Linked DNA regions of Callithrix jacchus. The protein of the gene in region 7 interacts with the protein of the main gene of each other region in a pairwise test. Links are inferred from orthologs where the notes say so. Each region holds a gene or a part of one and is shown on either strand. Other genes may lie near its edges. The genes, in order: LMO2, NCK2, ZGPAT, melanoma-associated antigen D1, BLK, BCCIP and CCDC33.

Evidence for each region.
Region 1: the proteins of CCDC33 (region 7) and LMO2 interact in a two-hybrid assay, tested with the Homo sapiens proteins (2 studies listed by BioGRID). The two-hybrid records come from large-scale screens. The link is inferred for Callithrix jacchus from reciprocal best matches to the Homo sapiens genes CCDC33 and LMO2.
Region 2: the proteins of CCDC33 (region 7) and NCK2 interact in a two-hybrid assay, tested with the Homo sapiens proteins (2 studies listed by BioGRID). The two-hybrid records come from large-scale screens. The link is inferred for Callithrix jacchus from reciprocal best matches to the Homo sapiens genes CCDC33 and NCK2.
Region 3: the proteins of CCDC33 (region 7) and ZGPAT interact in a two-hybrid assay, tested with the Homo sapiens proteins (2 studies listed by BioGRID). The two-hybrid records come from large-scale screens. The link is inferred for Callithrix jacchus from reciprocal best matches to the Homo sapiens genes CCDC33 and ZGPAT.
Region 4: the proteins of CCDC33 (region 7) and melanoma-associated antigen D1 interact in a two-hybrid assay, tested with the Homo sapiens proteins (2 studies listed by BioGRID and IntAct). The two-hybrid records come from large-scale screens. The link is inferred for Callithrix jacchus from reciprocal best matches to the Homo sapiens genes CCDC33 and MAGED1.
Region 5: the proteins of CCDC33 (region 7) and BLK interact in a two-hybrid assay, tested with the Homo sapiens proteins (3 studies listed by BioGRID and IntAct). The two-hybrid records come from large-scale screens. The link is inferred for Callithrix jacchus from reciprocal best matches to the Homo sapiens genes CCDC33 and BLK.
Region 6: the proteins of CCDC33 (region 7) and BCCIP interact in a two-hybrid assay, tested with the Homo sapiens proteins (3 studies listed by BioGRID and IntAct). The two-hybrid records come from large-scale screens. The link is inferred for Callithrix jacchus from reciprocal best matches to the Homo sapiens genes CCDC33 and BCCIP.

The regions. Positions count from the first base shown.
Region 1 is NC_133511.1:99,233,470-99,236,025, forward strand, and holds the end of LMO2 (rhombotin-2), read right to left. Parts: intron 1,500-2,556; coding exon 1,280-1,499; 3' UTR 501-1,279; downstream 1-500. UniProt on the Homo sapiens protein: Acts with TAL1/SCL to regulate red blood cell development. Also acts with LDB1 to maintain erythroid precursors in an immature state.
Region 2 is NC_133515.1:15,811,118-15,815,318, forward strand, and holds the start of NCK2 (cytoplasmic protein NCK2), read left to right. Parts: upstream 1-1,401; 5' UTR 1,402-1,612; exon of another isoform or gene 1,613-1,668; coding exon of another isoform or gene 1,669-2,529; intron 2,530-4,201. Other genes in the region: uncharacterized protein LOC118147454, read right to left, coding at 1,669-2,529. UniProt on the Homo sapiens protein: Adapter protein which associates with tyrosine-phosphorylated growth factor receptors or their cellular substrates. Maintains low levels of EIF2S1 phosphorylation by promoting its dephosphorylation by PP1.
Region 3 is NC_133506.1:59,197,781-59,202,035, forward strand, and holds the start of ZGPAT (zinc finger CCCH-type with G patch domain-containing protein), read left to right. Parts: upstream 1-1,455; 5' UTR 1,456-1,494; exon of another isoform or gene 1,495-1,589; intron 1,590-1,942; 5' UTR 1,943-1,970; coding exon 1,971-2,524; intron 2,525-4,255. Other genes in the region: ARFRP1 (ADP-ribosylation factor-related protein 1), read right to left, coding at 208-295, 541-633. UniProt on the Homo sapiens protein: Transcription repressor that specifically binds the 5'-GGAG[GA]A[GA]A-3' consensus sequence. Represses transcription by recruiting the chromatin multiprotein complex NuRD to target promoters.
Region 4 is NC_133524.1:52,079,226-52,083,298, forward strand, and holds the start of melanoma-associated antigen D1, read left to right. Parts: upstream 1-1,273; 5' UTR 1,274-1,315; intron 1,316-4,073. UniProt on the Homo sapiens protein: Involved in the apoptotic response after nerve growth factor (NGF) binding in neuronal cells. Inhibits cell cycle progression, and facilitates NGFR-mediated apoptosis. May act as a regulator of the function of DLX family members.
Region 5 is NC_133514.1:10,520,035-10,523,534, forward strand, and holds part of BLK (tyrosine-protein kinase Blk), read right to left. Parts: intron 3,417-3,500; coding exon 3,365-3,416; intron 1,442-3,364; coding exon 1,348-1,441; intron 459-1,347; coding exon 360-458; intron 1-359. UniProt on the Homo sapiens protein: Non-receptor tyrosine kinase involved in B-lymphocyte development, differentiation and signaling. B-cell receptor (BCR) signaling requires a tight regulation of several protein tyrosine kinases and phosphatases, and associated coreceptors.
Region 6 is NC_133513.1:119,131,363-119,135,352, reverse strand, and holds the start of BCCIP (BRCA2 and CDKN1A-interacting protein), read right to left. Parts: upstream 2,801-3,990; 5' UTR 2,789-2,800; coding exon 2,624-2,788; intron 57-2,623; coding exon 1-56. Other genes in the region: UROS (uroporphyrinogen-III synthase), read left to right, coding at 3,619-3,817. UniProt on the Homo sapiens protein: During interphase, required for microtubule organizing and anchoring activities. During mitosis, required for the organization and stabilization of the spindle pole.
Region 7 is NC_133509.1:21,103,042-21,106,541, forward strand, and holds part of CCDC33 (coiled-coil domain-containing protein 33), read left to right. Parts: intron 1-1,004; coding exon 1,005-1,138; intron 1,139-3,334; exon of another isoform or gene 3,335-3,500.

The DNA.
Region 1 (2,556 bases), on a different chromosome or scaffold from region 7:
TCAAGGCAATACACAAACCAAGGTGCTTGCTCTAAATCCTCAAAGTAAAGGTCCTCTTAACCACTTGTCATAAAACACCCTGAGACACCCGTCTTGGAAAATCGAAGTGTCAAGCTCAGCATCTCTGCCACATTTCAAACTAGGTAATTACCTTCTCTCCCAAAGGGAATCTGCTTTATGTATTTGTGTCCTTTCTAGGTTACAAGTTTCCCAAAGGCAATGATCTTGCCTTCCAGTCCCTCCACACAATGCTGAAGTGAAATGCATATTTTACACTAACAGTTTAATTATTCTACATCCCTCTGAGCTACATGATGACCTGTTATATAATTGCCAGTAATATAGAAATGTGCCTGCCTCACACAAACCCTTGCAACACATAGAAGTTTTTATTTGACCTAAGAGTAAATTGCATATTTGCTTCTCTTTTACAACAGAAAACACAGACCATTTCTCCGCCATCCCAAATTATAAGTCGAAAGCAAATAAACAACACTGCATTTCAGTCTGTCATTTTTATTAAGTCTGCAGAGCTGGTTTTTTTTTTCCTACACACGACAAATACTTTGATATAATCTAGGATAATAAAATAGTTGAACAACTTTTTTTTTAAGATTTATATCTGTATAGAAACAATCTGTGGAACTCCCCACCTCAAAATGAAGGTGTCTAAAAACAGTGATTCATCCGCATTGCTTTAAATCATTGTTTGGTTAAAAGTTGTGGTTTCCATTCTCAACCAAAATGTGTCTCCATGTGTTTTTCCTCAGGTCCAAAGCTTAAGGCCTTGGGAAGGTGGCCCAGAAAAAAAAGAATGGCCACTCTCCTCTCTGTCCTTCCCTCGTGTGGAGGATGGTGATTAAAACAGGGGTGTTACACAAGCCAGGAAGGAAAGAAATCAATTGCACGTCTCTAGTCTGCAAGCATCAAAGTCACAAGTCTTTACACAACAACTCCCTATCTGTAGATATGAAACCATCATGATAGCACAGTGCCTGCTTGTCCCTAAATGCTCCTTTCTTCTGCCAATCATGTCAGTTACTATGGCTGGGCTGTGGCCATAAGTTCTCCCTAAGGGCTGGTCCTTCTGTCACCTTGAAGTGTCAGCCCTTGCATTATGCCACTTGGATGCTATGTCTTGGTACCCAGTAAGGGTCTACCATCCCCTAAGAAATCCCTCACCCCACCCTCAAACCCCCAAAGTGCCTATGAGTAAAGACGCCATGGAGACGGTGTCTCCAGTGAACACCTCCCCAAAGATGCCTGGGGGGACTTGCGCCTATATCATCCCATTGATCTTAGTCCACTCGTAGATGTCCTGTTCGCACACTATGTCGGAGTTGATGAGGAGGTATCTGTCGCCTACACAGAAGTGCTTCTGACAGGCAGCACATTTGAAACATTCCAGGTGATATACTTTGTCTTTCACCCGCATCGTCATCTCATAGGCACGAATCCGCTTGTCACAGGATGCACAGAGACCATCTTGCCCAAAAAGCCTGGGGCAAAAGAAAGAAAAGCTAAGAAGGAGTGAAAGGGACAATCCTGGAAGGCAGGGCTCGGAGATGAGCCCCAGAAAGGAGGCTGGACTTTCAGGATGTCAGGTAGCCTGGAAAGGTCGGATCCAGAAGGAAGGCCGGCTAGTGCAGTCTTTCCCAGGAGGCAGAGCAAACCCAGATGAAACTGGCATTTGAATCTGGCAAAAAAAAGCCCCTATCCGCAGCAACCGTTCCACATTCCGCTAGGCTGCCCCTTGGCTCCTCCTCTGTGGGGGAGATTCTCAGCTGATGTGATCTACGATAAGGAGTTAGGCAAGTATTACCTGTCCCCTCCCAGGGGAACCCTCATTTCAGAAGAGCAGCTGGAGTGAGACCCACGGGGCCCCTCTGAGAGGATACTGACCAGGACTGCAATAAAATGGGCATTCTTCTGAGGCTCCCAAACTCTATCATGTCAACAGCTGCTGATGCTACCCATGGGGAGAGCTGGCCTTGAATATCTCCATAAGCTGCAAAGCACATCTCCACCTAATTATTCACTGGGGCCCCAGCTGCTGGGAGATGGGGAGTTCCACAGAAAACATGTGCTGCAGCTCATCGTGCCTCTGAGATATGGAGGACAAACAGGAGCTCTCCACCATGAATGGAAGATCTTAATTCATGGTCCTTGCTGCCCCACTGGCATGAGTCAAAAGGGAAACTTCTTTTCTGACATTTAAATCAAGACTCTCCCAAGCCTGTTCATCAGTCACTTATTTCAGGCAGTATTCAGTGTCAAGGGGGAGACAGAACATGGCAGGGCTCAGTACATGGTTCTCAAAGCTTTGGTCCTGGGACCAGCAGCACCCACACTGCCTGTGAACAGGTTAGAAATACAAATTCTCAGGCTGGGCCCAGTGGCTCACGCCTGTAATCCCAGCCCTTTGGGAGGCTGAGGCAAGTGATCACTTGAGCTCACTAGTTTGAGATCAGTCTGGGCAACATGGCAAAACTCTGTCTCTACAAAAAAATCAAAAAATTAGCCAGGTGTGGTGGTACATGCCTGTAGTCACAGCTA
Region 2 (4,201 bases), on a different chromosome or scaffold from region 7:
CTTTCCTTATTGTAAACTAGGAATTATTAACACAAGGCTTTTCCAAAAGGATGAACTGAAGTAGCTTCTTTCACAAGGTCAAAACAAAGGAAAAAAAAAAAAAAACGCTGTCCCAATTCCCTGAGCTTATATCTGATTCCTGCTCAGTGTACTGTGCCTCCTTCCACTTATTGAGCTATTGAGGGCTACCTACTGCCAGGGTACTTCACATAGGAGATAGGTAAATATTATCTCCTGGCCGGGAGCAGTGGCTCGCACCTGTAATTTCAGCATTTTGGGAGGCTGAGGCAGGCAGATCACAAGGTTAAGAGATCGAGACCATCCTGGCCAACATGGTGAAACCCCATCTCTACTAAAAATACAAAAATTCGCTGGGCATGGGATCGGGCACCTGTAGTCCCAGCTACTCCGGAGGCTGAGGCAGAATCACTTAACTGGGCAGGCAGAGGTTACAGTGAGCCGAGATCATGCCACTGCACTCCAGCCTGGCAACGGAGCAAGACTGTCTCAAAAAAACAAAAACAAAAACAAAAAACTCCCCATTTGACAGATTTTAGAAAGGATAAGGCCCACCTGTGTGAAATTACACAGTTCAGGAAGTCAATAGTCACTCACCTGTCTGACTGCAAAGCTACACTGCCTCTAGTTACCTATCTTAGGGTATTTCCTTTCTGGAAGAGGCAGGAGATGAGTGAGTCAAATAATACTGCTTTATAATCTTGGGTAAGTTATTATTGCCTTAATAGTAAGCAGAGATTAGGAGCCTAAGAAAGAATCTTATTAACATGGATGCAGGCTATCCTGCCAGAAAATCAGAATTATTTGAATATTAGAATTTCCTTTGGGAAATCACATGGGGAGGAGCAAAGACATCCGGATGAAAGTGCCTGTGAAAGGGAAGCTTGTGTTTTTCCCCTTGCTCTTGGGTTTTAATCTTCCAAGTTTGTTTACAGGTTAGCCACAACTCGAGGCTGTGTGGGCTGAACGGTCCCACTATTAGCCACCCACCTTCTAGGGGCCCATTCGGGCAGCTCCTCTTCGGGTTTTGCCCCACGGGTGTGCAACCAGGATTCCACTGGCTGGGGCTGGCCTGGATGCCTGCGAGGCAACAGAGGTCGAGTTTCCTCTCCTTCTTTTAGGGAGTGCCTCGGACGGGATGATGGACTAAAAACGTGTCTGGTTGGGAAAGTAAATAGATGCAAGGCAAATAAATAAAAATGCCCACAAGCAATTACAGGGAGGAAGTGACATTTTTATACAAGTCACTTTTCTGATGGACAACAGGCCTGCTTCGCTGACTGCCGTGGGAGTGCTTCCGGGACGGGGGCGGCTGCCCAGCAACTAGAGCTTCGTGATAAGAACATGAAACAAACAAAAAAGAGCACGCAAAGCCCACCCGGCAGTCATCCGAGGCTGGAAGTTACCACTTGGGTTTTCACTCTCCTCCCCACCCACCGCCCGCGCGCAATTTCGGGCGTAGGGACCCTTTCCTGCACCGGACGCCCGGCCCGCGCTGCGCCTGCAGAGCGGAGCGTCCCCTAGCCCTGCTCTATCCCGGAGCGCTTACCGAGACCCAAGACGCGGAGCCTGGTGGCGCCGGGGGGCGCCCCAGGTGGGTCTCGGGTCCCCGCCCCGCGCGCCCGGGCCTGGGCCGGCCCCTGGGCGGCGTCACGGCGCGGCCGGGGAGGAGCACGGGAGGAGGAGGAAGAGCGCGGAGGAGGCGGGCGCTGAGCGCCGGGGGAGGGTCGCCGCCGCCGCTGCCGCCGCCGCCGCCGCCGCCGGGATCGTCAGGCCAGAGCCGCGCGGCCGAGCGGGCGGCCGGCGGAGGGGAGGGCTCGGCGGCTGGGAGGCTCGCGGCGCCCGGGCCGGCGGGGTCCGCCCGGGCCGGCAGCGTCCGCCCGGCGGCGGGAGGAGGGAGCGGCGCAGACAAAGAGCGGCGCTTGGGCGGGCGCAGCGCGGCCGCCGCCCCGGGACCCGCGCCGCTGCCCTCCGGCTCCGCGGGCGGCCCACGGCGAGGTAAGCGCGGCACGGCGGGAGCGGGGCGGGGGCCGCAAACTTGGGGCCGTTGGGCGGAGTTGGGAGCTTAGCGGGGCTCTCGGGCCGGGGCGCGCCCGGGCAGGGGTTGGGAGAGCGGGTCCACTCCGCGCCCCACCGGTGCTCTCGGCCCCGCCGCGGCCTGGGCACCCCCGACCGCGAGCTGCCCCGCTCCTCCTGGCCCGGCACCTTCCTGCCTGCCTTCCCGTCCCCACCCCCCGCCATCGGGGGCCGGCGCAGGGGCGGGGACGCCCGCCAAGGGCGCAGGCGGGGATCAGGGCAAGGGGCCCGGCGGCGGGGCCCGGGGACTCGAGACCCCCGGGTGTGCAGGCAGCTCTTGGCCTGCTGGCCGGCGGCTGGCACGGAGCTTGGGGCTAGCGTAGGACCGTGCAGTGGCCAGGGTCGCCAGGGCGCGCGTGCTAGGGAAGAAGAGCCGGGGATCTCAGGGCCCCGGCGCAGGGACGCGGGAGGCCGAGATCGGCCGGGAGAACTTAACTGTGTTTATTACAACTATTTATGATCGCGCACAAAGCTGCTGTCACATCGCATAAAGGAGGTCCTCGCGTCGGCGAAGGGAGCTTTTGTGCCCTGCTTCAGGCTGTGCGCCCTGCCCCAGATTTACAGGACTCTTACAGCCACCTGAACCAAAGTTTCTCACAATCGCTCGGCCTTTCGGTTTCTTTCAGGGCGATTTAACCACCGAGTGGTTCTGGAAACATTTGATATGTGAGTTTTAAGGCACCCTAACTCCCTTACAAACACAGTTAGCTTGGCATTGTGTGGAGGGGTTTAATTTGCCACACACTTTAACTTGTAGACAGTAAGGATCTCTGTGAAGGTCTGCGCTGGATGCTAGGGGTCATTGGCTGGTGGACCCCAGGCACCTGACTTAAACTAATATTGTAACAGCTTCAGGGACAAAGCCGAGCGTGCATGGAGTCGGCCTTGGCCACTTCAGACAATTCAGGTTGGCAGATTTGGCTTTATTTTACCAACAGGTTTAAGGTTGCTTCTGCCAAGTTTGCGTCTGCATAATGGGATAAGCAGGCCCTAGTGTGGGCAGGAGGGGCTTAAAATATCGCACTGGCCAGCTCCCTCCCTAGACCCAGAAAGGAACTAGCCAGAGAAGCCGGTGGGCGTGGCTTGCTCGGGACCCACAGGTAGAGGAGTCCCTTCCTGGCCCAGGCCCCAGACCCAGTCCCTGCTTCTCAGAAAGGATTTTGTGTAGGAATGAAAGTGATTCAGGTTGTGTTTCATGCTTCTGTTTTGGATGTAGTTATCGAATCTGAAAAGTGACTGAAAATGAAATTAACCTGGGCTGCTTTAACTTAACAGTACAGAACTGTGCTTGTGAACACTCCCTCAATTCACTTTCCAAGCGTTCATAAACGGGTGAATTAGTAACAGGATTCAAGCCAGTGTGAGGTTTCTGTAAAGAGAACGGCAGTCATGGGACACATGGAGAAGAAATGCATTTCATCTGGAGATTGGGCTAGACATGTAGGTTTTTTGATGTTTGAAACAGGGATTTCCTGCGAAGCAAGTGTTAACCCTGCTTGTGAAGAAGTGACCACAAGGGAAAATCCTACCTCAGTATTTTCTCCCCTGGAGGTTGGTTAGATGTAGTTTTGACTGGAGACGGTGGCAGAATCTTAGTGCTCTTTTGGCGGCTACTTGATGCTGAAATTAAGAACTTTGGCCATGGGAATCTGTGGAGGTGCCTGGCCCACTTCCTGTCCTGGAGGCCTTGCATGGATTCTGAGCTTCTTTCCTGCTTCATAAACATTCAACGGGATTGATCATGAAACACTGGATGAAATTGGGTCATAAATTACCATCAGGGAAAGTTGGCTGCTGCATAAACCCCTCTGTCCGCTTGTGAAGAAACTGACCCTATTAACGATGGGACTTGCTGAAGGCCCTTTTCAGGTAGCTGTGCTCAGTTTTCAGGCTTTGTGTTTTGCTTAGGACACACTACATACTTAAATCTTCTTCATCTCTCTCTGTTTGATCCTGCTGTACTTACCCAGGCACTGTCATTTACATTTGGGGTTATTTAGCTTTTCCAAAACACAGCAGATCTTATGTACACAGTACCATATTTGAGAAATGCACTATCATCCATATTAAATACACTGGAAGTCCTCCTTGACTGTGCACAGACTGG
Region 3 (4,255 bases), on a different chromosome or scaffold from region 7:
CCGCAATGGGAGCTCCCCAACTGCAAAGTGCCAGCCAGCCTGAGAGACAGGCATTATAGCAAAGGACCCACACATATGGACGCTGACCCAGGGTCCAGCCCAGGATGAGGCCAACTCCCAGTCAGAGCCCTGCTCTGGGTGACACGGGTGAACATCACAGCATCCTCAAGGTCCCAAACCCACAGCCCTGCTATTCAGACCCCTTACTGTTGAGACCCACGGTGGTGGTGATTTTGGATAGACTCATCCCCTTGTAGTTCTTGTTAAACCGGGTTTTCGACTGCTCCAGGAAGGTCTGAGGAGAGAGGGAGGCAGACACATCAAATAGGGACTACAGTGTTTCCCAAGTCTTTTTCCCAAATATCCTTACTCAGGCCTGCTCCTTAAAAGACAAAAAACAGAAACAAAGCAACGTTCTGCTCTTCAAGAAGCTGGCGGTGACTACCCTGTCTTCTCAGAAGTCTGGATTCTGTCTGGGTGGTGAGCATGCAGCTGACACCAGGTCGTGGGGAGGGGCTCAGGCAAGGGAGGGGCACTCACCGTCTTCCCAGCATTGTCCAGGCCCAGGATCAGGATGCAGTACTCGTCCTTCTGAAACATGTACTTGTACAGGCCGGACAGCAGCGTGTACATCCTGCCCTGGACACCCCGACAGATGTCACTGTACAGCAAGAACGCACCCGCCCCCCGAGTTTCTCCACGGTGGTCAGTGGTGCTCCACGTCCAGCTGACCGCTCAGGACTAGAACCTGGGGCCATTCCCGACTCCTCATCTCTCTTCCACCCCATCCCTTTGTGACTCTTCGGCCTCCGTAACTTCTCCCAGATCAGCCACCCTCCGCCACTCCTGCCCCGGGGCCTCCCTGCCCGCGGGACCACCCCGCCAGTGTTCACAGTGAGCTCGGTTGCGCCCCCGCCCTCCCCCCCGCGTCGCTCCCACGCTTCACGCGCGCGGAACGGGGAACGCACTTGCTGCAGCCCCGCCTGGGCACAGCGCCCTCGGGTGTTCGGCCGCGAGCCCCACCCAGTAACAGCCAGGAGCCCCTGCAGGCGCCCCATCACCCCGTTTCTTAAAACGGGGACGGCCTGTGGAGAGCGGACCCGCAGGCAGCGCGCGGCGGGCGGGGACGGACTCCCGCGGAGGAGGAACTGCGCTCGGGCCCCCGGGCTCCCGGCGGCTGCCAGTCGCGGCCGCCAGGTTCGAGGCTCGCCGACAAGCTGCTAAAGCTGGTTCCTGTCACACCCGCGTCCCAACCTCGAGTCCAGGGCCGCCTCTCGGGCCTCGGGCCCGGCCGCACAGCCTCCGACCTACCTGCGTCCGCCGCGGCCTCTAAGCCGCCGCTGCTGACCCGGCACCGACCCCGCGCGGGGCCTGACGGGACGCGGGCCGTGGGGCAGAAGCTTAATCGCGTCCCGGCGGCCTCTGCGCTCCGCTTCCCGGCTGCCACCGCGCGCCAGGCACTTCCGGAGGCGGCTGCGGCGGGAGGAAGTGCCGGTAGGCTGCGAGGGCGAAAGCGGGGCTCCGGCCTGCTTTAGCCGGTGAGGCCGGCGGGCTCTCTATGGAGGCGGCTGGGAAACCGCGCTGAGGAGGTGCGCGGCCCTGGCCGGACGGAAGAGAGGCCGGGCGGGGGTCGGGACCAGCCTGCAAGGCTGCGGGCGCGGCGGGTGCGCTCGGCGGAGGGCCGCGCGGGGTCGCCCTGCGGGGAGGGGGTGACGCGGAACCCGGCTAGCAGCGAGCCCGGGGCGGCTCGGAAGGGAAGTGCGGAGCCCGAGCGGGGGTACCGGGCTGCGACCTCCGCGCCGGGAGCTATCGCTCTGAACCGGTGTCTCCGCGAGGGAAAGGGGACGTGCCCGTGCCCGCCGCAGGCTGTGGTGGCGGCTGCGAGACCCTCGCTCCGTGTCGGTCCCGAGACGCGGGGCTCACCAGGCCCCTCTTCTCGCAGCTCCGGTCCAGCGCCTCCCTCTCTCAACATGGATGAGGACAGCCTGGAGGCTGCCCTGCAGACCTACCGTGCGCAGCTGCAGCAGGTGGAGCTGGCCCTGGGCGCCGGCCTGGATTCGTCCGAGCAGGCCGACCTGCGCCAGCTACAGGGGGACCTGAAGGAGCTCATCGAGCTCACCGAGGCCAGCCTGGTGTCCGTGAGGAAGAGCAAGCTGCTGGCCGCGCTGGACGGAGAGCGCCTGGGCCAGGAAGATGCTGAGTACCAGGCTTTCCGGGAGGTCATCGCCGAGGCGGCCCCTGGGGCCGGATCAGAGACAGTTCCTAAAGCAGAGGCGGGGCCAGAATCTGAGGCAGGTGGGCAGGAAGAGGGAGAGGAGGAAGAGCTGAGTGGGACCAAGGTGAGCGCGCCTTACTACAGCTCGTGGGGCACCCTGGAGTATCACAACGCCATGGTGGTGGGCACAGAAGAGGCGGAGGATGGCTCGGCGGGTGTCCGTGTGCTCTACCTGTACCCCACTCACAAGTCCCTGAAGCCCTGCCCGTTCTTCCTGGAGGGAAAGTGTCGCTTCAAGGAGAACTGCAGGTAAAGCCCTTTGCTGTCAGATGGCAACCTCGAGGCGTACGGGGTGCACATACAGGGTCAGGTCAGGATCGGCCCTCCCTTTGCAGTTGGTCCCAGCTTCCTGGGGCAGGCGGGCTGTGAAAGCAGTATCCTTGTTTAGGCATGTGCCTCTTTCTTCTGGGATAAGAGCAGGATGCATGGAAGGAGGCTAATCAAGGTGGCTCACGCCTGTAATCTCAGCACTTTGGGAGGCCCGGGGGGGAATCACCTGAGGTCTGGAGTTGGAGACCAGTCTGGTCAACATGACGAAACTCCATCTCCATTAAAAGTACAAAAAATCGGCCAAGCACAGTGGCTCATGCCTGTAATTCCAACACTTTGGGAGGCCGAGGCGGGCGGATCACGAGGTCAAGAGATGGCGACCATCCTGGCCTACATGGTGAAACCCTGTCTCTATTATAAGTATAAAAGCCAGCTGGGTATGGTAGTGTGTTCCTGTAGTCCCAGCTGCTCGGGAGGCTGAGGCAGGAGAATCGCTTCAATCCAGGAAGTGGAGGTTGCAGATCACACCACTGCACTCCAGCCTGGTGACAGAGTGAGACTTCGTCTCAAAAAAAAAAAGTACAAAAATCAGCTGGGCGTGGTGGCAGGCACCTGTGGTCCTAGCGACTCAGGAGGCTAAGGTAGGAGAATCAGTTGAACCCAGGAGGCTGAGGTTGCAGTAAGCCAAAATTCAGCCACTGTACTCCAGCCTGGGCAACAGAGCGAGGCTTATGTGAAAGAGAATAGGTCCCCAACCTATTGTCAGTTTTGTTTGTTTTTTTGAGACAGGGTCTTACTTTGTCACCCAGGCTGGAGTGCAGCCTGGACTTCCTGGGCGCAATTGATCCTCCTGCCTCAGTCCCCCAGGTAGCTGGACTACCACACCCAGCTAATTTCTGTATTTTTAGTAGAGGTGCGGTTTTGCTGTGTTGCCCAGGCTGGTCGCACACTCCTGAGCTCAAGTGATTCACCCGCTCTGGCCTCCCAAAGTGCTGGGATCACAGGCGTGAGCCACCGCACCCGGCCCTGTTGTCAGTTTTATTCTCTAGAATTCAACTTTTAAATTTACTTTAATGGAAATTTTGAAACCTGCCCCAGATGAGAGAGCCTAGCATAATCACTGCCCACAGTCTATTATCATTTTGCTTGTTCCCCCGCCCCGCTTTTTCCCTTCCTGGATATTTTAAAGCAAATTTCAGAAGGTACTGGGTTTTTCCAACTATGAATACTTCAGAGTGGATCTCTGATAAGGAAATATTACTTAAAAAGTAACTTTTTGAAAGTCCAAGTCAGTGTGAAGACAAGAAAGAGTCACTTCCACATCATTATAGATAACACGTTTCATGGCAGCACCTCTTCCATGTTCGAATATCCACAGCTATTACCATGATGTCTCCATTTCCATAAGCGCATAGCTTTATTTTTGCTCCTTTTTACTTTTCTCTGAGAAGAAATATTTACCAGGCTTTCTAGTAGGTAATTTTCTTTTTAGCCAATAGTTCAGGCTGGCCAGGTAGCACTCCTAGTTCTTTGGATGTCTTACTTTGTGGGGGTTTTTGTTTTTGTTTTTTTTAAGCAGGGTCTTGCTGCCCTGTCACCCGGGCTGGAGTACAGTGGCACAATCTCAGCTCACTGCAATCTCTGCCTCCCTACTTCAAGCCATCCTCCCACTTCAGCCTCTCTGATAGCTGATACTACATGCGTGTACTG
Region 4 (4,073 bases), on a different chromosome or scaffold from region 7:
CTACAAAAAATAAAAAGGATTAGCTAGGCATAGTGGTATGCTTCTGTAGTCTAGCTACTCAGAAGGCTGAGGCAGGAGGAGCACTTGAGCTTAGGAATTTGAGGTTACAGTGAATTATTATCATGCCAATGCACTCCAGCCTGGACAACAGAGTGAAACCCTGTCTTACTAAAGAAAAAAAAAAAGGAACTACAAAGATAAAATCAATATATAAAAATATCAAAATACAAAATATGAAGATTGATGGGATTCAGCTAAAGCACTGTTTAGTGGGAAATGTGATTCAAATTGTTGAAATAAATTGTAAAAATGCCAACAAAACTAAGGACCTTATTGCTAGTTTCCTTCTTTGCTCTGACCACATTTTGGTCATTTATTAATTTAACAAATATTGATAAACACATATTTTATGCTAGGCTCTTAAGTGTTTAAATGTCATTTTAGCTCTAGGCTGTGGGCTTCTAGTGTAGTGTCTCTGGGTGTAGCATAGTATTTGGGACATAGTAGGTGCTCAGTATATACTTGTGGATTGACTAAAAATAACCACAAAAAGAGATCCTCCCCTTTGGTGAGAACTGTGGTCTAGATTTGGGGGCCAGGAGAACTTTCTGGAGGTAGTGTCAATAAATAATTCAATGTTAAACTTGTTCTGAAGGTATTTAACCAGAGTAGAGTTTTTAAAAAATTATTGAAACATTTTTTTCAGTTTTCATTTTCTTCCTTTTCTTGGGGAGTATGTAAAATAATGCAAGAATGCTTTCTACAGGAGTCCAGCTTTATTCTTTGGACATTTGAGTATGGTATGTAACTCTGGATACGATTTCAAAGCAAAAGTTGTTTAGACTTAAGATGTTTTGAAAAGGTTGACACATACCGCTAATACAAATGGAATTTTTTCAAAGTGGTGTGCCAGAAACAGTAAATCAGTTTGGTAAATATGTCACTGTAGACATCCAAGACAGAGAAAAATGAGGCCTAAGTTAAGGGACTAAGATGAAGGGAGATATTTCTAAGGCGAATCAATGAGAGGTGGCAAATTGCACCTGATGGATTTGGCAGAGATACTGCAGCTCCTGGCGTGACTAGAACTAGGATTTGTAAAAAGTTCGTGATTCTCTCAGCCCGTTTACAGCACAATGTAGGTGTTGATCTAGTGAGGGAGTCAATGAGATAGAGCATTGCAGAGCTTGCTAGAGAGGCACAGGAAGTCGCCTGAAGTGAAGGAGGGGGTGGCTGCTGCAGAAGCTAAAGCTTCCGCCAAACAAAAGAGGACAGCACTTCCGGTCACGCCATCGTCGCTGCCTTCTCCGTCAAGGTGAGTGTAAAGAAGGGGTCTTGGTAATTCTCACATATAAATACCGATACACTCCAGGGAGACCTCCTTTTGTGCCTCAACATGGGGTGGAAAGGAGAATTCATCCCCGCGTACGTTGTAGGAAGGATGCTTCTGACGCATGTGATTCTGATAGCTTCACTGTCTCCTCCCTTCTCCTCCGGAGATGGGAGGTCCCATCCGACTCCCCTTCCCGATTCTTGTGGTCCTTTTTATCTACCTGACTCTCGGTCATGCTTCACCTCTCTTCTTTATCCCAGATCCTCTTCTCCGGTCTGGAGGCAGGGTCATTCCCTCAATCACATTCCCTCTACCACAGGTCACTCCTATCTCCTACCTCTTACCTCCGCCTTCTGCCCCGCATCCTTTTAGCCTGCGACTCTTTGCAAGCCCCTTCCTAAACCCTGTTTTACTCCCGCTGCTGGCCTTTGGTCTTTCCCGTTCCCCTCCTCCAGAGACCAGTGAATTACGTACTTTGCAAAAGTAGGTGTGACTTCAAGGTCAAGGCTTTTTTTTTTTTTTTTTTTTTCTTTTTTGGTTCTTTTAAAGTAGAAGGAAAGAAGCAGAAACCTTAGAGCCCTAAGAGACATAGGCACTTGTTCGAATTATGTTCTTTTATTTTTTTAACTCTAAACAAAATTACACATCATTTAGATACTATTGCACAGATTTCTGTCTTCTCGTTGCATCTGTTTTTTATGTTGCCATAGGATTGAATCCCCAAATTTTTTTGGGGGGGGCGGCAAACGTAGTGGATTATACCTATAACCAGGTGTCAGAGCTTCAGAGAGCGTAAACTTTCCCATCCCCTGTAAAAGTTAGTGGAGAAATGGTTGACAGGCGTGGTATCCAGCCACAAATTTATTACTTTATATGAGTTGAGTTTATTATGCAAATTATTTTCTGGTCTCTGATAGCAGCATTAAGCACCAAGCTGACATTTTTTGAGACAAAGACTTTTTCTCAGAGCTTTGCAAGTATTACATAATCTATTTGTTGCAATATGAAATTACTTTTCTGTTACATTTGTTACCATGTCAAATTTATCTTGTGAGAACATCAGTTATTAAATAATAATCACAGTTTATTATTGCCTTTACTCAAATGATCATTAAATTTATGGTGAGAATCAGAGTTTTTCAGGCTCTATCAGAATCTAAAGAGGAATTTAACCAAAGTTTTCTTTGAACAAGCAGTTTACTCCCTCCTGTGTGTTATGCTTGCCAAAATAAGGGGTGATCCTCTTTTCTAGGCCATGGATAGTTTTTATTTAAGAATAAACAGGCCAGGCGCGGTGGCTCAAGCCTGTAATCCCAGCACTTTGGGAGGCCGAGGCGGGTGGATCACGAGGTCAAGAGATCGAGACCATCTTGGTCAACATGGTGAAACCCCGTCTCTACTAAAATTACAAAAAATTAGCTGGGCACGGTGGTGCATGCCTGTAATCCCAGCTGCTCGGGAGGCTGAGGCAGGAGAATTGCCTGAACCCAGGAGGCGGAGATTGCGGTGAGCCGAGATCGCGCCATTGCACTCCAGCCTGGGTAAAAAGAGCGAAACTTCGTCTCAAAAAAAAAAAAAAAAAAAAAAAGAATAAACAGGCTGGGCGCGGTGGCTCACGTGTGTAATCTCAGCACTTTGGGAGGCCAAGGCGGGCAGATCACCTGAGGTCGGGAGTTCCAGACCAGTCTGACCAACATGGAGAAACCTGTCTCTACTAAAAATACAAAATTAGCATGCCTGTAGTCCCAGCTACTCGGGAGGCTGAAGCAAGAGAATCGCTTGAACCCAGGGGCGGAGGTTGCAGTGAACCGAGATTGCGCCATTGCACTCCAGCCTGGGCAACAAGAGCGAAACTCCATCTCAGAAAAAAAAAAAAAAAAAAGAATACACAATGAGGCAGAGCTTTTGTGACACCAAAACCCTTAGGAACATTTCCAAAGAGTATTGCTGATGTCTGTTTATTCAAATCATTATTACGTATCATTTAAATATTATCACATTCGTTTCAGCCCACTGTGCATCTCCTCACCTGTTTTTTTCCCCACATCCCAGATATGTCATCACACAGGTAAATAACTCACTATGTATCTCTAATTTATAGGTGCATTAAGTAACCACCACATCATTATTTTACTTAGTAAGATAAATAATTTCTTCTTTTTTTTTTTTCTGTTGTTTTGTGATGAGTCTTGCTCTGTTACACAGGCTGGAGTGCAATGGTGTGATCTTGGCTCCCTGCAACCTCTGCCTCCTGGCAAGTGATTCTCCTGCCTCAACCTCCCAAGTATCTGGGATTACAGGAGCCTGCCATCATGCTTGGCTAATTTTTGTAGTTTTAGTAAAGATGGGGTTTCATTCACCATGTTGGTCAGGTTGGTCTCGAACTCTGGACCACAGGTGATCCACCCACCTTGGCCTCCCAAAGTGCTGGGATTTACTGGTGTGAGCCACTGCACCTAGTCAATAATAATTTTTTATATCATCTAATACTCAGTCTATATTCAAATTTCCATGATTGTCTTTTCTTTTTTTTTTTTTTTTTTTTTTTAATTGAGACCGGGTTTAGCTCTGTTGCCTAGGTTGGAGTACAGACATATGATCAAAGCTCACTGCAGCCTCGATCTCCTGGGCTCAAGTGATCCTTGTGCCTCAGCCTCCTGAGTAGCTGGGACTACAGGTACATGCCACCACACCCACCACACCCAGCTAAAATTTTCTTTTTTGAGACAGAGTTTTGCTC
Region 5 (3,500 bases), on a different chromosome or scaffold from region 7:
ACAGCAGCCTACTCGGTGTCTCAGTGTCACACAGCGGTTTGCTCAGTGTCACACAGCAGACTACTCAGTATCTCAGTGTCACACAGTGGTCTGCTCAGTGTCACACAGCAGTCTGCTCAGTGTCACACAGCGGGTTGCTCAGTGTCACACAGCAGTCTGCTCAGTGTCACACAGTGGTCTGAACTTGTCATCTGGAACCAGCAGAGGGGCCTTTCCAGCAGAGCTAATTTCCTGTCCCCTTTTTGCTGGTGCTTGCGGGTTCCCAGGTCAGTCCCATTCTGGTCCTGCCCTGCCTAGCAGCCCAGGGAGCAGAGACAATGACTGGACCTTGGCTCCAAGGGACTTCCCGTGCCACCTACCTCTCCACTTCCAGGCTCTCCACTCGGGCCACAAAGTTGCTGGGCACATAGCCTTCTCTTCCTGTGACGAGTGACTTGGCCAGCCACCAGGCTCCAGTTCTAGCGGGAGCAGGAGAAACAGAGCTGTGATCATGGCCTCTGTGGGCCCATCTCTGGGCAGCTCCCAGGCCTCCTCAATGCCACCTCTCCCTGGAAGGCACAGAATCCGCAGAGGTAGACAGTATGGCAGGCAGGAAGGGGCTGTGCCTGCTGCTCCGTGGTATGGTGGGTATCTGGGTAAGCTCTAGGGGGAAGAGCTTATCTGTACAGCCTGACCAGCCCAAGAGGACCCAGGGCTCTGGCCAGCAGCCTTCCTCTTGATGAGTGGGATGTGTTCGGAGCTTGGTGAGGGACTTGGGACAGGCTTGAGGAAGACACAGTCGGGCGGCCTGTATAGGATCAATAGTCAGGACTTTCATGAGCTTGGCTCAAGGTCACTGCAGAACTTCAAGAACAAAATCAGACCCTCAGAACTCCAGGGGGCAAGACTGGTCACCCAGAGAGCGGGCCTAGATGGAGTTTCTGAGAAGGACACAAAATGAGCTAAAGCAGGATGGGCGTGTGTAATCCATGTGGGTGTCTGTCTTAAGAAGGAGACAAATATGGACATGACTGACTTAAATGCAAGGCTCTCAAGGAACAGCCAGACCGGCCTGCATAAAGGACAAGGTCCACATGCCCAAAGGAGTCAGGAGGGCTGCATGGAGGTGGTGGCATGGAACATGAACTTTGAAGGATAAGCGGGAAGTTGTGAATGGAAATCACTTCACCAGAAAGAGTCTGGAGAGGGGGACAAAAGGGCCAAGTTCAAGAAAATGCTGGGGCTAGGGATGGGGGCAGGGCAATGGGGAAGGTTTCTGGGGTCAGCCACGGAGGATGTGGTGGGCAGAGGAGGGAGGGATGTGGTGGGACTCCTGCAGGGACAGGGGACGGCGTCCTGGAGCCTCACCCCTTCAGGACCTGTAGCTTCTCCCCCTTCAGCATCTGCAGGTCCCGGTCATTCACGGCGGCATAGTCATAGAGGGCTACCGCGAAATGCTCATCTGAAAGGAACCAGGGAGAGATGACCAGGCCCCCGAGAGGGAGGGCAGGGCTGGGGCGAGCCTGTGATGGGAGCCACCTCTGGCTACCAGGAGGGGCGGTCTTCTGCTTGCCCATGCTGGAGATGACACTCTCATCCAGAACAGGCCCCCACCCCCACCCGTGACCCTGCCTGTGACCTCACCAGGACGGGCTGCCCCAAGAGCCCATCCTGTCCTCCTTTCTGGATCCATTAAGAAGCCCTATGGCCTGGGCAGGCCATGTGTGAGTTCGCTGGTGGCCAGAGGTCAGCACAGGGAGGCAGCCACTACTGGGCTGGTGGCCTCAGGCCCACACTGGGAGCCAGTGCTGGCAGTCCCTCATCTTATCCCACACCTGGTCTCAGAGGCCTGTGAGTTCCTCTTGCCCTTTTCCTCCTCTACCTCCTCCCACCTCTGTGCCCAAGAGGGGTGGTCTTGCCAGGTGGCAGCTGGAGCCCTGGCCTCCCCACTGTCTGTGCCCGAGCTCTGCCACACTGCCTGTGGCTGCCAGTGTCCCATGGACCCCCTGACTTGCTGGCAGGCCCTGGATGGAAGGGGCAAGAGGGCTCGGGAGCTTGGAGCACCATCTTCAAATGAGTACTTCTGTGACGAGGGCTCTCTGCACAGCCCTGGGAGCCACAGGACCCACCTGGTGAAGGTAACCTGGAGAGCGCTTAGCTTCTCCAGGTGAGGTGGCTCAGCTCTGTCACTGAGCTGAGGGTGTAACCTTGGGCTGGTCACTTCTCAGCAGGAAAGAGGGGGTTGGAATAGGCAACAGCGGTTCCCTGCAGTTTTAAGATCCAAGTTCTGCTCACGAGTGTGACAGATACTGAAATTTCCCGGGGAGGGAGTCGCATCTACCTGTTGTCACCCCTTCACCATTCCTGGGACAGAGTCGCACCCCATGTGCTGAATGCCTGTTGTATGTGGCGTGAGCAGGTTAATGGGTGTGACCCAGGCTGGCTGAGGCAGCCTTTCCCCATGCTGTGTGGACGTGGATGATGAGGAGGCTGCGGGAGGTCACTGTGAAAAAGGCAACCTCCTGGGAGCCCCTGAGGGCGGAGCCTCTGGCCCAGGAAGACCAAGCTCATTCCCTACGGCATCCAGCAGGCCAGCCCACCAGAGCAGAAGTGGAGTCTGGGGACCAGGTGCAGTGGCTCATGCCTGTAATCCCAGCACTTTGGGAGGCTGAGATGGGCAGATCACCTGAGATCAGGAGTTCGAGACCAGTCTGACTGACATGGTGAAACCTTGTCTCTACTAAAAACATAACAATTAGCCAGGTGTGGTTGTGTGAACCTGTAATCCCAGCTACTCGGGAGGCTGAGGCAGGAGAATCACTTGATCCCAGGAGGTGGAGGCTGCAGTGAGCTGAGATCACATAACTGCACTCCAGCCTGGGCGACAAGAGCAAGACTCTGTCTCAAAAAAGAAAAAAAAAAAAGGTGACATCTGGGGACCAGGGAGGGGGCATGGGTGGTTAGGTGATCAGCAGGTGACTGTCAAAGTGGCTGGGAGGGGGAAACAAGAAGGTGTCCTCCACGGGGCGCAGCCCAGGGCTGGAGGCAAGGGCCTGGAGCCACTGCCCATCCTCTGAATTTGGGAGTTAGACTCTTTGCAAGCTTGGGTTTGATGATGGTGTGTGTCTTCTCTGGGACCCTTATTTTTATTCTTGTTTACAGTTTGTAAAGTCTTTCATTTTCAAAAAGTCCCACCAGGCTCAGGCAAAGTAAGGAAATTCATGCTTGGTTCCTGAAGACACCCCCAAGAGGCACGGAGCCTGGGCCCCGCTCAGCTTCCCCTTTTTCTCTTCTCCAGCCCTCAAGCTGCTCCCGACTGTTTCCTGTTCAACTCCACAAGGGGAGGGGGCCGTGGAGACTCAGCTTCCCGCACCACCCTTCTTACCTTCGTCCAGGTGTTCCTCGGGCCGTGGAGGAGTAAGGTGGTTAAAGACAACCTTGGGTAGAAACCATGCATGAGTTATTCCCGTCCCTGCCGCAGGCGCAGGGCCTGAGCAGGCAGCCAGGTGATCTCCGGGGAC
Region 6 (3,990 bases), on a different chromosome or scaffold from region 7:
ATTCCGTCATAATCGTTATCTGATATAGAATAAGCTTCAAATTCGATATTCACTTCCTGTAAATAACACATAAAATAGTTATCAGAAAAACTACAAACATCTAGGCTTTAAAATAGGCAAACATTGCCAAGATAGCCATCTGTAGAGAATACAAAGCACCATCACAACATTTCTTCATGACACAAAAGCCTGAGAGAACAAAACACTCAGAGTAACCTAGTTTAAATGTTGAGAAAGTCCAGTTCAAATAAACCAGTCACAGCAGCCACAAAGAAAAAATTATTTTCCTGATTGCAAAAAGAGTGGGCAAAAATAAAAATCATTTCAAAAGTCCCTGGAATTGCCTAGAGCTTAATTTAGCTCATGGATTTGAGGTTACACTTCATTCACCTAGCAAATATTTATTAAGTACCAATCCAGGTACCAAGCACTATGCCAGACACTCAAGATGAAAAGGTTATAATGGGTGTGGTGGCTCACACCTGTAAATTCAGCACTTTGGGAGGCTGAGGTGGGCAGATGAAACCCCAAATCTATACAAAAATTAGCTGGGCATGGTGGCACACACCTGTAGTCCCAGCTACTCGGGATGCTGATGAGGCAGGAGAATCGCTTGAACCCAGGAAGCAGAGGCTACAGTGAGCTGAGATTGCGCCACTGTACTCCAGCCTGGCAACAGAGCAAGACTCCGCCTCCAAAAAAAAAAAAAAAAAAAAGAAAAGGTTAGTAAGGCAGACACGAATAATCCTGCTCTCACGCAGCTTACAATTTAGGGAGGAATACAGACATTAAGGAAATATTTGTAGAAATAAAGCAAAGGTATCACAGTGCTATAACAACTTAAAAAATAAGTCAGGAAAGGAAAGGCTTCCTTAAAGAAGTGACACTTGAGCAAGGCACCAAGAAAAAGCAAAGGGGGTTGCTGGTACAGGGAACAGCACAAACTAAGGCCCTAAGGCAGAAGGAAATATCATGAGCACGAGGAACTAGAAGAAAGAATGTGTAGCTGGGCTCCCTGATCTGTATCTTCAAGACAACATAATCTAAAAGAAGATGGCACTGAAATACCAAAAACAAAACCTAGTTCCTTTTAAACACTATCAAGATCCATCCTTGAGGACCCTAAATCATACCTTGATAAATGATACAATGAACCTCGGGCTCTGATTAAATAATTTATTTTGATGCTCCTCAGGTTTTAATGGTTTGGGAATTTAGGTCTTAGCTGAAGGACAACACAGAGGAAATTAAACCCAATTTTACCTTGCCACCCGGACTATGCATATATTTAAGGCTTCCTGAATTGTTAAACTTGCAACGCCCTGGAATTGCTCTAAGCAATTTTGAAGCAATTTCAGCTCCAATTTGAACTCCTTAAGTCCAGCTTTGCAGATCAAACGCTAACTCAGCCAGATTATGTGAGTAGCAAAACACAAGGGGTAGGGTGGGAGCGTTCCAAACAGGATCAAACTAAGCCAAATAACAAATTGTCATTATTCAGGACTTAAATTTATTCCTTAGATCTAAATACATTCTGTAAATAATGCTCTTCCAGTGTTTTTTTCTTTGTGTAGACAGACACCTCGGACCTCTGTCCCAGCCTATTACGGCACCACCAGGGAAATGGGCAGCAAATGGATCATCTGTCCAGCACCCTTTTCCCGGGTGTGGGATCATCTCCACATGGTTTCAACAGGAACAGCCACGTTTGTAGAAATCAGCCCTGTCCCTCATTCCCAGGTGATTTAGAATTAAGACTGTGGTCGTCTGATAGACTTCCCATGTTAGCACAAGAATCACTGCTTTCTATAACCCATAAAATAGCCAAAGTTCTAAGTGAACAACGGTGAGATGGCATTCGAGGCACAGAGCCAAAGTAAAGATTTGTAAAGGAAGACTGATCACACAGCTGGTGAATTTAGGGACCATTTACAGAAATGACGACGGTTAAAGAGAGGGGCATGAATTATACAAATTCTGCTTTGGACAAGTTAAGGCTGGGGTATCTATTTAGACATTCAATAGTCTGAAGGATCACTCAGTCCGAATTATTTATTAAACAAATAATAAGTGCACTAGGGTAGGACCTATTCTGAAGACAGGAACCAGTTCGGTGAGATTATGAAGCCAAAGATTTACCCACGCCTTGGGTCAGCTGCCCCAGGAAACCAGAAAATACAGCCTAGCTGAGATCTGAAGAAGGAAGGGAAAGAGCATCTCTGAAAAGGCTTCTACGGTAGAACCCGGCAGGAGCCTTCGAGAAACTGAGGGCCCACGTGAGCGCAGCCTGCACAGTGCAGAGGCGGACAGCTGCTGCCCCGGGGGGAGAGGGCCGGCTCTGCGGACCCCGGGTGGCCGATTCAGGATCTGAGATTTCGGCCTGAGCACTAAAGCGGGCGAGAAGAACACACCTGCCGCGGCGGGCTTTTTAGCGGGGAAGCGGGTTGCGAGAATAACCGGATCGGGGTAGGCCTTTGAGAAATAACTACGACGGCTGCAGTGTGTCAAAGGCCGAGGAGGAACCTGAGAAACAACTTTTCTCCAGGTTCTGATCACAGACCCTCGGAACCTGGGCTTGCCACGAAGTTCATAAGCCAACTAGAGAAGTGTGTGTCCTTCTCACCTCGTCGACGACCTCGTCGTCTTCATCTTCTTCCTCGTCACTGTCGTCATCGTCTTCGTCCTCATCGTCGACTTCATCTTCCTCTTCGTCGTCGCGCGGGACCGGGGCGCCAGGCGGTTGCGGAACCCCACTTCCCACAGCCCTCCGTTTGGCCCTGGACGCCATGTTACCGCCCACACTGCGCCTGCGCAGCTTCCCGTAGCCCGACCTTACAGACCAGCCCATAGTAGCCAAGCGGGGGAGGGATTACGAAGAAGCTCAGCGATGGGTACACGCCAACCCCAATGCCCCTGCTGGATTCTGCAGCCATGATCCCTTACAGTCAGGTCCAGCTTGCGGTCCTAGCTTGCTTTTTCCTTCCTCCCTCCACCCTCTCTCACTCCTCCCAAGGCTTCCCCTCCCCTTCGCTTAGTGGTTTAACCCATCTAGCCTTAGGCCTCATTCCGCGGCCTGGATTTAGAGGCGCATGCGCGAGCACCCAGCGGTGCGCGCGGCCACACAGCGACCCTAGGCTAAGGTGCCGGGGTCCTAGGACCCGGCCCGGGTCGCTGCCGCAGCCCTGAGGCTGCCTGGGGAGGAGGCTGCCCACCCTCTTGTCATTGCTCCTGCAGCGTCAGCAGCCTCTTCGCTGGGACTGCGCGACACCGACCCCCGACTGGGCGCCTGCGGTGTCCTAAGCCCGGTGCTGGGCACGGTCCAGTCTTTTAGCCCATTAAGGCCTCGCCAGCCCCTCGAGGTAGGTGTCGCCGCCCGCGGTACCAGTGCAGAGGCCAAGGCCCGCGGGCGTGCAGGGCCCCGGCCCAGGGCGGTGTGTGACTTCGCGGGGCCAAGGCCGGGAGGCCGCCGCGGGCCTGGCCCTGCCCAGGCAGGAGGTCTGTGGCTCCTACGGCTGCGCCGGTGACGGAAGGCGCCTGCCCAGCCTACCCTCGCCAAACTTCTGGAGCGCGTTTCTTGATCTAAAGTTTTTTTTTTAAAACCAGGGACTGCAATTAAAAATGCTTCGCGGGGGCCGGGCGCGGTGGCTCACACCTGTAATCCCAGCACTTCGGGAGGTCGAGGCGGCTGGATCACCGGAGGTCAGGAGTTCGAGACCAGCCTGGCCAACATGGCGAAACCTGGTCTGTACTAAAAATACAAAAATTAGCCGGGCGCGGTGGCTCACACCTGTAATCCCCAGCACTTTGGGAGACCGAGGTGGGTGGATCACTTGAAGTCAGGAGTTTGAGACCAGCCTGCCCAACATGGTGAAACCCCGTCTCTACTAAAAATATAAAAAGTAGCCAGGTGTGGTAGCAGGCGCCAGTAGTCCCAGCTACTGAAGAAGCTGCGGCAGGAGAATCTCTTGAACCCAGGAGACGAAGTTTGCA
Region 7 (3,500 bases):
CACAGAGCAGATGTGATCTCAGCTAACTGGCCTGCCCCACTCCCTTTGGGGGCCTTGAAGGTGGAACAAGGGCTGGTGGCGATGACATCTTTGCTTCCATCCTGGGGTACCATTTGTGCACCTTGCCCTCTCCCCCACAAGGGGTGCAGTGTGGCTCCCCCTGCTACAGGACCTCCAGGATGACTCCTCAGCCCATGACTGCTGCAGTTAATGGAGCAGCACTGTGGATGGCCCTGACCTAGTAACCTCTTCTAGAGGAGAAGTATTTACTCTCTCCTGAGCCGTTTGATGGCTCTGCATCTCAGATACCTGTGAGGTGCACTGGGATGCAGAGGGCCCAAGCTCACATGCCACCTTGAACAGGCCGATCCTGAACAATTTGGGTGCTGCAGGGCTGAGAAGCCCTTGCCACCACCACCTGCCCCCAGGCCCAGACCCAGCTCCAGGGGTTCAGCCCAAGGCTCGGCACCAGCAGGCATCGCAGAAGGCACCATGTACGTGCTTCATTGCAAGCATTTAGAAATGGGATTGCTGGGTGGAGCCTAGAATCTGGGCCAGAAGTTTAGGGAAATAAGGTGAAGAAGAGAGGACAGCCAGGCGGGGCACCGCACAGCCACCCTGCCCAGAGGCTTCCTCCCACCAGAGAGAACCTAGAGAAGAGGGAGGCCATGCACGTGGGCACCAACTGGAGAGCCCTCCCTGGCGAGGACAAGGCATCTACCCCTACCCCTACCCCTGCCCTGAGCCTAAATGAGAGGCCTGTGTCTGAGTGAAGGCCTCAGCAGTGGCCAGCAAGACAGTGTGGTCACTTGGGCTGGCAGGGGAGCCAGGGGAGAGGCCTGGAGTCCCCTGGGCCTGGGATGACATGAGGGTCATGCGTGTGGGAAGGAGCTCTCCATGTTTTGTCCACCTTTCACTCAGATTTATGGACAGTGGAGCTTGGAAGGGGGATAGCAACAGACAGGACCCCTCTCTCTGACTCACTCTGCCCCCGTTCTCCCCAGGAAAAGCACATCTGAAGAAAAGAATGACCAGAGCTCCAAGGCAGTCACATTTGTGACCTCAGAGCCCACCAGAGCCCCTATCTGGGGGGACACGGTGAACGTGGAGATCCCAGCTGAGGATGCAGGGCGAGAAGGTGAGGTGGGGGCTGGGCGGGACCTGCATATGTAGGCAGCGGGGGAACACGGCCAAGGACTCAGGGCAGAAGCAGGCTCCCTTTCAGCGCAGCTGGTAGCCACCTGCACACTTCCCTGGGCTCAGTTAAAAGCACTTAGAACAAATCATAATACTGTCACACCTCATCTCCCCATCCTGCTCGAAAAATGAGTTGTTCCACATAAATGAATTTTCCAGACGATGCAAGCTTATCTTTTTTTATGACTGTTGTTATTATTTTCATGGCTGTTATTACTGCCGTCTCCCACTGAAACAGGACATTACAGTGTCCCAGCACGTCCCCACACATCGCTCACTGGAGTTACCAGCTCCCAGGAGGAGCAGTGCTGCTCCCATTGCTTAAGAGAACATTGAGGTTCAGGGAATTTAACTGGCTTAAGCTGAAGACCGAGGACCAAGGACTCCACATGGCATGTTCTCACTGCAGCTCCAGGGTTCTTGCTACTTCCATTTGATTTTTAAAAAAATATTTGAAAGGTCCCTAGAATGGATCCCTATTCCTTCCTAGCCCTCCCCAGGTCTCAGCCTGAGCCAGCAGGTGCCACGTACACACAAGCATGTGCACACTTGTATCTACTTTCACACTGTGGGTCTGTTGGACTGTGGGTCTGAGCTCCTGGGGGAGCTCAGGTGGGGAACATGGGAATGCTGACTGGTTGACACCCAGACCGTGCGGCATCACATTGGGCACTGTCAGAACAGACCGGAGGTGCCTGGTGATGTCTCTGATCTTATCTAGTCGGAACCTCAGACTTGCTTCTTGCAGGTGGTCTCTCCCTGAGGGGACAGGCTTGCCTTTCTCCCTTGAAATCTTGCTAGGGATCTAGACAGAACTCCTTGTTCTCCTCACAAAGAGCAGAAAGCCAGCTGAAGACTGTGAAAGGGGAGAAAGGAAATGGAGTGGGAGCCTCCATAAAAGGGGAAGGAGCTAGTTCTAGGTCAAGCGAGAGAATTTTTCTTTTCTGCCTGTAAAGGGATAGGTGGAGCTGCTGGGATGCTTTAACAAGATGCAAAAGAGGAGGAAAAATTGACATAAGATTTCATGCAGAGGCACAAGCGTGCCTGTGTGTGCATGTCTTTGTGAATGCCTGCATGCTGGTTCATGCGCATGTGTGAATGTGATGCGTGCTGTGTCTACTTGTAGGCATGCGTGTCTGTGTGGCTTATGTGTGTGTGTTTGTACATGGGTGTGTCTGGCTGCAACAGTGTGGTGTGTGTGTGTCTGGATGGATCTGGATGGTGGTGTGTGCCTTGCAGTGCATGAGTATGTGTAGTTTGTGTGTGTGCCTGTGTGTGTATGCATGCATGCATGCATTTATGTGGCTGGTGGGAAGTTAGAGGTTGTGGTGAGTGGACCTGAGCTGGGATCCTGCCCTGGGCTCTACACACTTGGGGTAACAGAGGGAAAAATGTAATGAGGTCAGTGACCCCTGGGCCCATTGTGCAGCAGAGAGAGGGGCAGGACTAACTGCAGGAGGGACAAGAGAGTGGGGAGGCTGCCTGGGCAGGCAAGGAATATTGGCAGGCGCCTCACTGCAGATTGAAGTAGCTGGATGGTTGTTGGTACCGGTTGCTGTGGTGATGTCTGTGGTGGGGGTGGGGGAGATGGGGGCCAGGCCAAGAGGCGGGGGAAGGGTGGGAGGTAGCTTAACGATGTGTTAATGAAAAGCGAAGGGGAGTTTCAGACCCTGTGTCAGGGCCAAAGCAGGCGGGTGGCAGAAATAGCTTGTTGGCCACACAAAGGGAGCAGTGGGAGGCCGGAAGGGCACAATGCCCAGAGAGGAAGCTGATGAAGCGTGTTTGTAGCATGCAGACAGGAGCAGGGAGGAGTGGCTGTCCATTACCCCCAATTCCAGCTCATCTGATGACTGCCCACACAGAGCTCCAAAAATAGAGGGTGCAGAAAATGCATGGCACTCACCTCTCGTTCAACCCTGGCAAATCCCAACTGGATCTGGGGACTCTTGGTCCATGGTGAGTGGGCATAAGGGGCTTCAGTCTGCACAGCTCCTGGTAGTGCTTTGGCTGGGAGCATTGGAATCCCCCAGATGAGTTTCCTCAGGTCTGCCTACAGCAGGGTTTGTGTATGGAGAGCTGCAGATGGTTAACAAGGAAGGAAAATAGTGACAGCCACAAGGAGTGCTTGCACAGAATGTTATAGCTTGAAAACACAGTCTTCTCCCTACCACAATCCAAGGGGGGAGACATGACTTCTTTATTAAAGTCTTAACATGTGGAAGAGGAGGAACATAAAGCTGAAAGAGGCTAAAAGATTTGCTGACAGTCGCAGAGCAAGTTAGTGTCTTGATACTAGAACCCAG